2 linked regions of the Coturnix japonica genome follow. The protein of the gene in region 1 interacts with the protein of each later gene in a biochemical or structural test. Links are inferred from orthologs where the notes say so. Each region holds a gene or a part of one and is shown on either strand. Other genes may lie near its edges. The genes, in order: CARD11 and PRKCQ.

Evidence for each region.
Region 2: of the proteins of CARD11 (region 1) and PRKCQ, one has a biochemical effect on the other in vitro, tested with the Homo sapiens proteins (2 studies listed by BioGRID). The link is inferred for Coturnix japonica from reciprocal best matches to the Homo sapiens genes CARD11 and PRKCQ.

What each region holds. Positions count from the first base shown.
Region 1 is NC_029529.1:3,535,410-3,543,092, reverse strand, and holds the start of CARD11 (caspase recruitment domain-containing protein 11), read left to right. Parts: upstream 1-2,437; 5' UTR 2,438-3,007; coding exon 3,008-3,136; intron 3,137-4,846; coding exon 4,847-4,970; intron 4,971-7,683. UniProt on the Homo sapiens protein: Adapter protein that plays a key role in adaptive immune response by transducing the activation of NF-kappa-B downstream of T-cell receptor (TCR) and B-cell receptor (BCR) engagement.
Region 2 is NC_029516.1:3,258,780-3,265,955, forward strand, and holds part of PRKCQ (protein kinase C theta type), read right to left. Parts: intron 6,265-7,176; coding exon 6,086-6,264; intron 4,353-6,085; coding exon 4,179-4,352; intron 1,709-4,178; coding exon 1,617-1,708; intron 44-1,616; coding exon 1-43. UniProt on the Homo sapiens protein: Calcium-independent, phospholipid- and diacylglycerol (DAG)-dependent serine/threonine-protein kinase that mediates non-redundant functions in T-cell receptor (TCR) signaling, including T-cells activation, proliferation, differentiation and survival, by mediating activation of multiple transcription factors such as NF-kappa-B, JUN, NFATC1 and NFATC2.

The sequences.
Region 1 (7,683 bases):
AGGGAGAAAACGCAGAATGATGCAAAACCATTTAAACTTTGCAGTTGTTTCCAATTTGTCTCTATTAAAGACATGTATCGCTTTTTAATTAGAATAAATGTTGACCTATAAAGAAGACAGGAAACCTTCTAATTCTAAACAAACAAGCAAGAATAAGTAACTTGCCTCTCCTTACTTCTCCTAACGTTTGGGTTTGATAGATTAGCTTTCACATCCCAGCTATGCTAAGTCCTTCACAGTCTAATCCTCAGAATGCATATCGACAATGCTATTATGGCATGAGTTGGGAAAGATGACCTTGTGTTTTAAGCAAAAGATGAAATATGAAAGTGATTATTTAGAAACATTTTAAACCAAATTCATTGATCTAAAATCATCCTTTTTTTCCGCCCCCCCAGCCTTTTTTGTGGAGAATATGATCAAAAATGATCAGGGTTCTTTTGGTAGTAATGTTGATTATTTGCCCTCCTCTCCCTTTTTGTTTTAGCAGGAAATGCTTGTTTTTAAGTTTTTTGCCTTGAGTTTATAACAGTTGCCAGTTTCTACAAAGCAGCGCATCAGATGTTGTTTTTCAAAATTAAGCCATTGTGGTAAGAAAAAAATTGTACTTTTATCACTTTTAAGGGAGAACAGATATTCTTTTATCTCCCCAAAACTTAGTTACCTCGTCTGTTGAATATATCAATAACCCACTGGTTGCTGTGGAACTGAACTACTTGCCTGGAAGGTTTAAAGATCCATGGATTTTAAGTGCTATGGATATATAATTAAGAGCATAAGGAACAGCATAAGGACCAGAGCTATGGCTCATACCCAGTTGTGATGAATAATGTATGTGTAATGAAAAGGAAATGGTTGGAGGAGTCGCTAAATTAACTCTGCCTCTTCTGGCAGGAGTGGTACAGAGCCTGGGGCTGCTTCACTTTGGCCCAGAGATGAGGCAGAGTAGATCTGAGTTGTTTGCTCTGCCCCTCTGTAGAGGGCAAGACCCCATCTGCTGCACTGGGGGATGTCAGACCAACCCCTGCAATGGGTTTGAACTGAAATTTCTTCCTAAAAAGGAAGGTGAGGATGCTCACACCCAATGCAGACAGATAAATCATTGAAGTCGACAGACAGAACATTTTGTGCAAAAATACGTTAGCCCAACACTGTCAAGTGAATGAGAGAATTTTATACTATCCGTTTCTCACTGATATATGTTTGGCTGTCATCTTATTTCATAGCTCAGGCAATTGAAATACTGTTTAAATGTGTATCATAAAGCTATAGATGGGAGCATTTCCCAACTGGATTTAAACCATTGCCCCAAAGGTGCTACAGAAACCCTGCTGTGTGTCGCTTTTTAACATCAAGGGGCATTTCTGATGTTAATGTCTAGAAAAGGCAGATGAACACTAACAGCTGCTTATCCACAGGCTGGTGAATTGAATAGGGAAATACTCTGTTCTGGAAGTCAGATCTCTGGAGAAAACTGATAAATTATGAGCATCTCTAAGTAAGAGTGATGGTCTCTAAGGACAGTTGAGCAAGGCTGATAATATAAAATATGTAAAATGTGGAAAATATTTAATACTTCTGTTTCTTTGCTCTAAAGAGTTGGAGGGGTTGTTTTAACAATATATATGGCGTTCCTGAGCAGGGGAAATGCAATATATTCATTCTCAGATCACTAGTTTGTGAAATGCTGTTCTGCTGCCTGGGGAATTTCAGGATTATTACAGTGGTAAGGAGTCAAGGGCAGACTCCTCATAGGCTGGCTTGGCTCTCCTGGGACAAGAGGAGGAACAGCAGATTAAGGGCTGGGCAGTTTAGTAGTTTTTCCAAATGCTATTTTTTTTAATAATGTTTTTTAGTCCTCCAATTTGCAATAGCTCAAAGACAATCAGCACCTTCATTTCTGACTGATGGACTGCCCTCCTGAGTGCTGATGAACTAACTCTATATAAAGTTGTTCTGTAGGGTGTCAAAGTGTACAAGCGAAACCTTCAGCTGGACAAACACACTGCGTAAGATCCCTGGGGCACAGACAGAAAGAGGGGTGAGAAAATCTCTATGAGCAAAATACTTCCAACACAGCTCCCTACTGTTGCTGCTCCCTAAGGGACACATAGTTCTACGAGTCAGAGTGCTGCACGCTGCACTTGGATCAGGAAACCACTGATTTGCAGTTCTGCAGTCTCTCTGTAGTACACACCTGTATTTTAGATGGAGCATCTGGATTTCCTTGAATTTTCTCGTTGCCTGACTGAACCTGGTTATTTTCTATGCTTACGTTGTGTGAAACGTATCCACACAGTCTATCAGCTTCAAATAACTGTAATCTCAGCCATAATATTTCTGTAGCTTCAGAGACATTTTTTAAAACAGAAAACTGGGTTGGAGTCTGTAAATTCTTTTAGGAGAAGATTGATGCTGAGTTATGTGTAGCTTTATGATTGATAACTGAATTCTACTTGGCTACTCTCAGTTTACAAGTCTTTATGATTAAGAGAAATTTGTCCTTCATGTTTTGGTGACTGATTCCTTTAATCTGTTCATTGTTCACTGAGCAGCTGCTTCAGCTCTTCCTTCTGTTTAGGTGCAGAGAAACGTGGGACCTCTAAAACAGTCATTGGACCTTTTGAAAGCTGTTTGTAACCAACAACAGTAAGCAAAACAAAAGCAGAAACAGGAACAAATGGTATCCAACCTTTGCTTGGCTCTAGAGAGCAGTTTTACAGTCTACTGCCTGATAGCCAGTGTGCTAAAGGAATCAAAGACTGGAGAAACCTGTAACAAGACTTGTTGAGTATTAACTTGAATTCTGTCACATATTTACTTTCAGATTAGGAACTGTGCACGGAAGATTTGTGTTTTAAACCAAAGTGAAGCCACAAAGCCTGTTTGTCAGCTGCCTTCATTTCCCTGGTTGAACTGAAAATGGTTCCTCTGTTGCATGCACAAATCAGCTTCCTCTATGAAAGCAGTGGAAAGCTTGGATCAGAAATAACTTGTATTGCTTTTGATGAAACAAGAGCGGGCCATAATTCTTACAGCAGTATTTCAGTTTTTCTCCGGAGTATGTGCAGCTTTTCCCTCACTGTGCTGGTCATGTCTGAAACTGTGCAGCCTCATCCATGCAGTTGTCACACAGGTAAGTTTTGGTTGCCCAGGGCACCTTGTCACAGGCAGCTCACTGTTTATTCAGAGGTGAATTTTGATAAGGTTGTACAAGGATATAAGTAACACAAAACAGTATAGTTCTCACTGGGAAAAAAAAACAAACAGTAAGAGAATGGTGTTCTGCTGTTGCCCGGGGAGAGGAAGAACTTGCTGCTTTCCTTTGAGTTGTTGTTTTAGAGAACTGGAATGTCAGAGTCCCTTTCAATACCACCCTTATGGCTAAACTTAGGCCCTTCTCAGTCATGGTACAGGTACAACCCATGGAATCAGAGGGACAATAAGGGAGAACAAGAGCAGAGCTGCCCCATGTCTTTTGCTGCAAAGAACATACTCTGCTCTCCCAACTTTCACAGGATTCAGGTTTTCAGTTTGATAAGGACACTTCAGAGTGTTACTGTAATAGCACTTCCAGCCAGATACCATCTCCCTTTTTACTTCTTTTCACGTTATCACTTCCCTTCATTCTATTTTCTTTGAGGCTGCTGTATCCTTTGACCCAGCTATATCTTCTGATAGTTTTTTCCACTGCTCTTTCTTTCCATTTGTTATTTCCCTTTAGTCTAACAACTGCTTTTCCTTTTTCTGCCTCTCACCCTACTTTCCTCATGCCTTTTCCCCTTCCCACATTCCTTAATTATCAATCATCTTTCCCCTTATGCTCATTAATCCTAGTGTTTTTCCTTTTCTTTATCTGCTTCTTATAGGAGATAGAAACGTACATGTATGTATACAGCTGTTTTCTTCCAACCACATTCACCCTCACATATATACATCTCAGTGCTCTTTGGTGTGATTGTGTCCTCAGAGGGACCCAAACATTGGATTTACCCATGTGTGGCTTTCAGCCCATTGTCCAGCATTCAAGCTATACCAGATGTCTGTCAGCACACAGACTTCCTTAGGAAAATGCTGTTTTACAGCATCATTCAACTGTAACATATACTAATACTCGCATTACATTTTGTCGTCTCCCTTTTAGCTTAGCGACAACAGCTGTTAATAAGAAAAAAAAGATGTTTTCTAAAGGTTTTTGAAGAAAATGCACCACTCTTCCTGCCTGGAACTGCTTCAGTTGGAACTCTTCAGTCCTTTTTCTTTCTTATCTAGCCAGTGTGTGTAGTGAGAAGCAAGGGCTGTTGCTTTGTGGTTGGAGGTACAGCCCCAGGTTAGCTGGCAGCCAGCATCTCCCCTTCTGCCCTAGGGATATGCACTGGGGGAGCTCCTGCTGCAGGGAGCTCAAGGCAGGTGGTGCAGACAGCCTCGTTTCTTGCTCTGAGCCATCCGCTGGAGGCTGCTGCCTTCTGTGCCCACTGCTCTTCCTGGGGAAGGGGTAGCAGTGCCTCTTCATTTGCTTACCGTGCTTCTTTGGGGCTCTGCTGTCACCTGCGTGCAGAGTCATTTGCAAACAGGCAGTATCACTGGGGAGCAGAAATGTGTGTTTTTTTTAAACCCTAAGCAGATTGATACTCTGGTTTCCTGTCAGATCTTTGCATTTTCCTCCTCTGCCCCGCCCAGCCCCTGACACACTTTTTTCTCACTTTCTGTCGCTCTGTACTCATTCTGACACCAGTGCACTTGCTTCCTTTATTCCAGATTATCCCCAAAACTTTCGGCACCTTGGGGAAGGGGGGCAGGCGGCAGGAGGACTTTTGCTCCTTGTGTTTCTTTTACTTTCTAACAGCTGCAGAGCACAAAAAAACCACTCCGGGGCTCCTGGAAGAGCCAGACATGGGCATGGAGGCAACGTAGACACTTCATCCTGCAGCAGCTGCACCGAGACACCCACTCACTCATGAGCACCCAAGGTAAGGACAGCAGCTGCCTGGCGCAGCATTTAAGTCTAATTGCCACAAGTTCCACTTTCACCTTTATTTTCTGTGTTCATTTTTGTGTGTTTCTCTGAGGTCTGTAGCCACCCGTCCTGTCCTCAGCAGCACAAAATGTGCTCGGGGGGGGGGGGCCCTGCGGTACCCCAGGGTGATGGGTGTTGGTAAGGGAAGTGTGTGCTGAAATGGAAGTGCAGAGGGGGAGCTGAAAGGGCTGCTTGGCAGTGCTGGTTGCCAGGGAATTCCTGCTTCTGCTCTGTGCACTGAGCCCTGACCAAGTGTTTAAATCCTTTCATTACGGATTTATGCTTTCTATTAACTAATAAAATTATTTTTTCTCCCCTCTTTTAATTAGCTCTTCTCACTTCCTTTATTCTTTTATCAACTCTAATGTGCATCCTATCTTCTTCACCATCTTCTTATGCCTGTTTCTCATCAAGCATATCTTCTGTGTGACAAGTGTTCCACTTGTTCCTTTCTTGCCCATGCACAGAATGTATGTCCTCCCCCATGTTCTCAGTCTCTCTCCTTCCCCGCCATGATTTCCTTCTCTATCTCATGTTCCACTTTCCTGCCACCTCTTGCACTCACACCTTCCTGCTCCATCCTCTCCCTGCGCATGCAGCATGCATTGCTGCCCTGCAGAGTTGGTTTAGCATGTGGGGATGGTTCCTGTCTGCTGACCCGTTCTCATACACACACACACTGCTTTCATATCTGCCCCTTTGCTCATGAACATAATCAGAATTTGCAGATTTGGAAATGCATCCCAAAATGCCAGGCATGTCTGCTTGCATTGCCTCCCTCCAACTTCCAGACTTGTGCTGAGTGATTCACAACAAATAACCGCTGTCATCCTGTCTCTGTTTCCTTCTGTCTCACCAATAGAATTTTCTAACACCTACAGCTCACCGTAGCTTCCTTTCCGCTCACAAGTATGGCCCTCTCTGACTTTGTTTTTTCTATCTCTGCTTTTTATATCGTCCCACTCCTTCCGAAGCCTTTACCCCAACCCTCCACCAGGCTTCTCTATCTGTTTCTATGCTGCGTTCACACTGGGAGGAAATGCTAAAGCAGATGGTCTTACTCTGCTGCCTCAGCATCCCCCTGAGACCTCGTAGGGAAACCAGAGGAAGTACTGCAGTCTCAGCTCCTCTTTCCTTTGCAGAATAGGCAGGTGAGAGCAGAGTAACAGCTTTGTGAAACTCTTAGAATGTCTGGTCTGATGAGTGAGGTCATTCTTGTCCCACTGAATCCCATAGGATTTAATATCTTAAGGAGAGAGGCTCCCTGCTGCAGTATTGTAGCAGCAGTAACTTTATTCCTAGGATCTGGATTGAACTCATTTCTCAGATACCAAAATTTGCCAAGATCAGGTTAAAAACTGCATCCAGGGACGATATTTGCTGTGACTGGTTGTTTAAGTTTATAAGCTTTGAACCAGATATGACAAAGTAGTAAAATTTGTTGAAGTTTTTTAGCCTCACCTTCTTAAGCAGGTCTATTGAGACTGGAGATTTATTTCTAGGGATGTTCTGGTTTGGGCTTTTGGGGACTGAATAAGGATCACTTATTAAACTCAGCTGAATTAATAGGAGAATTATGATGTGAGAGAATTCTCTTAGCAATCTGTCCTGCTCTCTCAAATTGTCTATCTCCTTATGAGTGAAAGAAGCTTAAACTGTATGTTTGCAATTATAATGCATACTTTTTGATTCAGAACTAGCAAACTGTGGCCTTTGAGCTGTGAGCATTCTCTTCTGAATACAAAAGTAATTCCATGAGAATATCTTTGTCTTTTGCATCTGCCAAGAAGTCTGCAAGCCTGGAACAACACAATAGGATATGTTATTTTCATTCATAGAAGTTCAGCATAACCCTACTCTGTAACAACTTGTGATATGAAAAGTTCTCATGTTCCTTTTAGTCATCCTGTTAAACGTGTGTGATGATCTTGTGCTTTGGTTTTTTTCAGCATCTTCTGCCCCCAAAACTATTTGGTGGATTTTTGTTGTTGTTTTGGGTTGTTGTTTTTTTCTGTAAGGCCTTGATATTTCCCTGAAACTAATTGGCCGAGACTACGTTTCTCTTTTTGTCTCTTCTCCTTTTCTCTTCCCCTCACCAACCATCATCAGAGTTTACCATGAGTTGAATTAAAAACAGACTCAGTCAAAGCAGAACAGTGACATCTGCAAGGGGATGCAGATGAAGGGAGCCAGATTTGATTTCCGAGTTTCTTGAGTCATGTACCTGACAGAAGAGAAATTTCAAAGGGAAAGAGTGCTGAAACTTTCAGCCACACCCGGCAAACCCTTCTACTGGGAGGGACACCCCAGAAATTCAGAACCACACGTTTGACACCCTCGTCATGCAAGTTGTTACTTCTGGTGAGAGAGAGCTCTGAATTAAGAGAGAAAATAAACTTCCTGCAGGAGAAGAGAATCATCTGAGTGCAATGCGTCTCTGATAAAATTAAAAGCAGCTCGAACTGGTATATGGGATATCCTTAAAAAAAGAAGTCTGAATGTTTTATCCTGTTACTTGGTCAAACTTTTAGTGAAATGCATGGCATGGTTACTCACAGAGGATGAAGCATATAGAGATCCTTATTCCTCCCAATGTTATGTCTGTAGTATTGCAAGAGAACCAGCTGCCCACTCTTTATCAGATGTCTCAACTCCCTTTGATATTG
Region 2 (7,176 bases), on another chromosome or scaffold:
ATGGAGAAACTGCAGCCCACTTATGATTTCAGCAGCATAAAACCTGCATGATAGAAAGAACAAGTTAGAATACGTGTTTCCCCAAAGCTGTCTTCAGCTATACCCCCAAAAAATGCCAAAAAATACCCCCCAAAGAAGCCAAAATTTCAGTGAGCCCTTGAAGGCCTGAAGCGTCTCCAGAAGGCTGGATATTACAGGACTGACAATGTGAGATTCCCAAAACCATTCCACATAGCAAGCAGTCCATCTTCCACTGAAACTACTTTGGGAAACGGCAAGGATTTGACGTGTAGTCATCTTCAGGGCTTTGGCAACCACACTACATGGCTACCTGTAAACTTTTGGTGTGTAATTGTCCATGTGGATGTCTCCTTAAGTGCGCCAGGTTGGAGGACATCTCGGTTTGGGAACAACACAGAGATTCCTCAGCTTGTCAAGCAGATCTCTTTATTGCCTGGATTAATGACTTGTTTCCAAAGTTTTACCCAAGATGTGAAATAGGTAGCAGCCTGGTGGTCTTTCTGTGGAGACTTTCTGAGTTTTAGATCTTTGTTCTGAACAAGTTTCTGCCTAAACTGCAGAATGAAGGCGCTCTGCCCAGAAAGGAGGAATGTAACCACCAGTTCACGTTCCCTCCATGTTGTTGTAAGGTTTTGCTCTGTCATTTTCATTGCACTGACCTCAGGGCTTAGTTATGAACATTCAAATAGTTTTGTAAAAAATAAGGAAACCAGTAAAGTGAACACAGATTTAAATAAAGTTTTTCAGTATATTTTTTTTCTAATTAATAAATAAAATTTAATTCCTCAATGTTGACTTTTGAAATGTTATTTACTTCACAGAAGGATCTGAACACATTTCATTTAGTCTAATTCTCCTACTTATTTTCAGATGTTTCAGATTTTAGGCATTCTCAGTGCTATTTGCAGACACTTTTAGAGGTAAGATCTCAGGCAAAGAGCTCCTCTCTGTTAAGTGGACTAATTCAGGAAATAAAGCAGCCTGTGGCACAGCTTCTATCCAACTCCTGGCTCTGGGACTGAGGGACTATTCGATGTTTGAGGGACTATTTAAATGTCTGAAGGACTATTCTTGAGGTTAACACAAGTATGACAGCTGGGTCGCAGGATGTGAGGAAGCCTCTCATCTGTAAACTGAAGGACAAGACTGCAGGCTGATGCAGTGCTGACGAGGGTGTAGCACCATCTGTAATGCTTTCAGACAGAAATAGCTTCCCTAGTTGACCAAGAATGCAAAGCAAGTTCACATCTGACTGAAATGAATTGCGTGGATGTGCTCTAAAAAGCTTTTTGTGGGAGGGAAAGACGACTGGGAGAGGAAGTGACTAGGTCCAAGTCTGTCACTGAGATGGGGTGATGACCTGCGTATCTGTTGTGTTCGTTTTGGAGAGAGTGGGAACTGAGAGTGGTTCTGCTTTCATGCTAAAAAGCCAGCTGAGAGCACTTTGCAGAATAAGTAAGTCATAGAGAAGTCAAGGGCTGGGTCCAAGGTTACCATCAAAGGACAGTGGTAGAGCTAGAAAGCTAAGAGCCCTAGTGCTCTCATCTTCCTCTTTTGTTTCTAGCGTGTGCCAAAAGGTAATCATAACATCTTACGTTGCTCTGGGAAGGTCAAATTTATGACAGCTCTGGATATGGAACATGAGGTCTCCTCCATTGAGATATTCCATCACAAAAAAGAGATTTTCCTAGAGAATGAGATAAGACAAATATTAGGGGTGAGAAAGAGGAAATTAAAAAAATAAGAAGGAAAATATTAGTGTCAGGGTTTTTGGAAGAAAGCAGATTATCTTCCAAGTTCCTAATTTCTGCTCCTTCTTCTCTAAGCATGTACTCTGCCTCATTACTTTAATTTCTATAAACAGCATTAACAAACATTGTGAAGCCACATTATAATCAACTGGTGCCGTTGTTTTTTACCAATAAAGCTCAAGGATTACTAGAAGGGGATAAGCACCTTTTCAGCGCCTGTATTATGGAAGGACAGATAAACAAGATTCCTGGGGGACTGATGGAAGAGGAAGAAGCAAATCCCAGGTCTCCTATGTCCTCCTAAGTACACCTATAGAGCAGGAAGATCTCTGTTTCCTGGAAAGAGTGTATCTGTACAATGAGTTATGCTCCCAGTTTAAACTTCTGTTTCAGTATTGTCAGCTTCTGTGTATAAATGCATGAACAAAATAAAACGGATGTGGTGTTTTCTCTGTTCATTAAACATTTGAAGTCAGTTATCTCCAAGCTACGCAGAAGTTTATGAATATCCTTCTTATGTTGTCTAGTGTCCATCATCCAGTGTCCAGGTAGTTCTTCTGACTTATACTTTTAACACTTGAATGAAGATTTTTATTTATAAAATCCAACGTAAGTATCTCTGGAAGAAAACCAAGAGATATTAAAATATCTCTTGGTTTGGATATTAAAAAGGAAACAACAAGGTGATGATGAGGACCAACAGCCATGTGTATCATACTGGTACAGGAGAAATCTTATGGGTTTTTGAATGGGCCAGATAGAACATTAGTGCTCTGGGAAGGGGAAGAACCCTGGGTTTAACTGGGAAGTTCACTGACTTCACCTTATCATTCATCTTTAAGCATATATTGAAGTGCACACTTACTCAGTACAACAAACAGCCGTGTTCTGCTTGCTCATGGATTTGAGTGGCCATCTAATGCAGGCATTTAGTTCAACTGGGGACTCTTATAGCATCCTTCTACCCAGTTGGAAAACAAAAAGTGAACAGCCTCTCAGATTAATTTGCTTCCAAAGACCATTATATAAACACGGCCACCAAGTTGCCTGCAGATATGGAGCTAAGACTACAAGCCTGACTTAGATTTAGCTACTACTTGAAATTCATGGCCTACTGAGTGCTATGGAATAGTACATAAATACTACTGAAAAGAAAGATGGCACCCCTCTGAGTTCTCTGCCCTGAAATAAGGGGTTTCACTTACTTCTTACTAAGGCTAGTTGTCTAGTATGGCCCATGGAGGAAAACTGCTGGAGATCAGCCCTATGTGTGTAATTATGATTAGCAAGAAGCAGTCTAGAAGCACAAGCAGCAATTATTGGAGACACTTCCCTATATCAAGAACTATGAAGCTACAGAACAGCATAAAAATGAGAAGTGGCAAAAAGCATGCTTGAAACCAGTGAAAATTCAACAGCTTGCCAGAGGGCAAAGGGTTAGAATGGCACAGAGGATGTCTGCAGACAGGATCCAACCCACGCTTCCTCTTGTCCTGGGACATTTATCTGTTGACTCCTCTGAAGAGTCTGCTGCCACAAAGCTCTGAAGCCTGCCAGTGTCTGCAGTAGACAAGAGTGTGATGAGTGGGTATTTCTCAAGAAGTGGCATCTGGGATGGCAAGAATTTACCATGCAGTTAACCCTGTGATGGCCTCAGGTCAGAACTGTTAAGCAAACAAATAGGAATGCTTTCTGTCATGTGGAGATCTAGGTAGATCTGAACAGCACCCCACTTTCACACTGTCTGGCTCCTTGGTAGACTGACCACAGGCAAATTGCTGATCGTGCTTGAGATTATCTCTGTGTTGTGGAACAATCAGACCAAACTTCTGGTCATTCTTCCAGAGTCATGTGATAGAACAAACCTGTTCTTACTGAAGAATGTGGGGCCATCATTTATAACCACAGAGTTCAAGGAAGAATGGCAGGGCATTCCTACATGCCACAACAGACACCGTCCCAAGGCAGCTGGCACCATCTTGAGGAGATCAATATGTCAGTCATTCCCTACAACTAGGTCATCAGTCATGAGTACTGTTTCCCAGGGGTGAGACCTGGGGCCTGTTCTGTTCTCTAACTTTACTGATGACCTGGATGAAGGTATTGAATGCACCCTCAGTGACACCAAACTGGCAGAAGTGTCAATCTGCCTGGGGGAATGAAGGTCCTACAGGGGGTTCTGGACAGTCTGTATAGCTGAACTGAGGCCAGTTAGATGAAGTTCAACAAGACCATGTGCTGGGTCCTGCACTTCGACAACTATAACCCCAGGCAGCGCGACAGGCTTCATTGCCATTTAGGGTCAGACAGATTTCAATATTCAATGCTATTTGAGTTTTGGTTTGGCATACGATCTCTGTAAAGTGCCCTCAGCCCATGGAGGAAGGTGACAAATCCTTGTCTTACCTTGGTTTGAAATGTACAGAAGACATGAGTCAGGAACGGGTGCTCCCAAGCTAAAGAGAGGACTCTCTTCTCCACCATTGTACATTCAACATCATCATCCATAAGAACCACATCCTTCTTCAGGGCTTTCACAGCGAAATACTGGTCAGTGTTCTTCAGCTCAGCAAGGAACACCTAGAATGGAAATGGCTGCTCAGAAAAGCCAATGCTCTTCTCTCTGAGCTGGCAACAACAGCCATGGAAGCTGAGCAAGATGAGCTGAAATGCAGCACTAAGCAGATAATTCTGCATGGGAAAATGGCTCTGAGGAATTCATAAGTGTAGACCTTAAAAGTTGCTATTTAAGTTCTGATTCTGTCATGAAGACTGTGTAGACTTTGAATCCGCTCCCCACATCCAGAATAATTCTATGAGGCTGAACTCTGAGGAAAGATGGGTAACTGGTAATTGCAAGAACACGAGCTACATGTTCATATGGACAGGACATGTATGAGAGCTGAGCACTTCTGACAACAGAAACCAACATCATGCAAATGCTCATGAGACACATTTCCTGTTTTCTGACTAAAGTAACAAATCACATAATATTGCTTTGTCAGCATGTGAAATGCAAATGCCTTGCACCGGTATGTATAAACTGATGTCCACCAGTAGTAGTTAGACTGTAGTTAGTAGTTAGACAGTAGTAGTTAGCACTACACAGAGCCTAGAGACACCTTCGGTCTCTGCAGTGAATGACCAGAAATGCTAACAGTGTTGATGCTGAAGGGACCCTTTTAACTTGTGGTTCTGTGCAAGGCATTGCTTTTCCAAGGAAATCAGAGAATACAATATAAGTGTGACTTATGCTGTGACCCTCAAGGCACAGGTAGGCAATGTTGGACTGATGCAGGGGGAGATTCCTCGTGGCTGTAGCCCTCAGAGTCTCTCCAGGTCCACCCAGAAGTGGAGAAGTCTTCCAAGCATGGAGATCTGCATATCTTGTTCTCTTTGTGGACAAGTGAATGTTACAACAAATAGATGACAGCACCTGGAGTGATACCTACACGGGAAACTTGTGGGAGAAGTTTGCTGCAGAAAGGCACAAATTAGCCCTTCCCCTCCATGCTCACATAATGCATGGCAGAGAAATGCAGATTCTTGGCTTCTCAACTTGACAAGCCCCATCTGGTGAGACCTGTTTTGTGCAGGAGTTGTATTAGATGATCTCTGGAAAACCCTTCCTTTGATTATGAATTCTTCTATGACATCTATATTGAGACCAAGTTAGTCTGGGTTGTGAAGTTTGGAGTTTCGTGGCTTAGTTTTAACTTACATATCTCAGCTCTGCTTCACATACGAAATGCAGACATGCCAAATGCTTTCATATATGCAAAAAGTCAACACAATAGATATTTCCCCAGTTTAAGATTTGGTTGCAGCAACTGCTCTAGCTCCCTTAGCAAAAAACAGGCTTTCTTCCAGGCAGTTTCCACCTTGGAAAAGACTGAGATCTAAGCAACGTGATACATAATTATACTCATTCTCCCTACTGGCTGTGAAAACACAAGGGAGAGGTGGTCTGAAATTACTTCATGCACTGAGATAACATGAGTCCACTTCCAGGAGGCATCTGCATGAAGGAGGAACAACTGACCATCCATCAAGATTAATGAATATACTGAAAACAGGTGGACCTTGTTTCAAAAGTACAAATTCTTGGCTTGTTGTGAAATCTGCTTTACGTTCCAGCACAGATCAGAGATGGGAAAAAAGCAGTTAGCACTTGCTAACTCTGGAGAAGGGTGGTGATTCATATTCACTTTCCCATCTAAAGATTCTGCCCCTGCCAAGATGGCTAAGCCAACCTGATGGGCATAGCTGCATGAAGAGGAACAGCAAAGAGATCTCAGCCTCCTAATACTTACCTTGCCAAAGCTGCCCTTTCCCAACATCTTGTGCAGGACAAAATCTTCAATGGTTAGTTTTAGTTGCACTTGGTCCTCCTGCTGCTCCAGGGGCTGTTTTCCTCCCAGGTCTGTTTCTATTAGAGACTCTCTCTTTGTCGTGCCCTCCACTGGAGTCTCCCAGGAGATGCCCTGTGGCTCTGCAACACAAATCAAAGCATTCAAATAAATACTGGGAAGTAAGGAGAAAATCCCCAGAATGCTTATGAGGTATTTTGAATAGTTCTAGAAAGGTCTTTTCAGATATATGAAAATGTGGACAGATCAAGTGAATAGATTGTCTCTGCTTGCATACAGCTTTCTCTCCAGAGGAAATTTTGCTCCACCATAGCTCCATTTTCTTCAGTGGCATTATTCCCGCTTTATGAAGTCCTTCATCTGTCCTGCTTCATGGTAGAAAACAAAACCAAATCTTTCATTTCTGGCAGCCTTTGTTCTTCATTCCTTCTTGCTGGTTGCTGTTTTGATAGGATCCCATTTCTTCTGAGACCTCTTCAAGACCCTTGGCAAAACTAGTGTGTGAAACAAATGGGACATCATCTTCGTATTGGCTCCATGCTCTGGTTATGGAGACTTAATGAAATATTCCAGCTGTCCTGGAGAGGAATTACTAACAGTTTCTTCAATACTTCATTCCCTTGGATGTTCATGAAATTCTTGTCCCTTACTGGATTTATCCCACTCACTCAAATGTATGTACTTGCTGTACTTGCTGTGCTGTCCTAAGCTGCTTAGCAAGAACACTAATCATCAGATAGACTCACATGTTAACCAGATGTAAATAATTCAGGCTTTACCAGTACAGACTGGTACATTCTGTTCTACTTGTAGCCCTCAGAAAATGAACACAGATGAAGGCACCATTGATTTTTCTCTAAGGGGGGAAATGGAATAGACAGCACCAAAATCTCAGGTTGGATATTAGGAAAAATCCCTTCTCTGAAGGAGTGGTCTAGTGCTGGAATGGGATGCCCAGGGAGGTGGCTGAGTCACTGTCTACAGATCTACTGTTGCATCCCTTACTTGGTTTAAGTATTAATTCAGTTGTACCT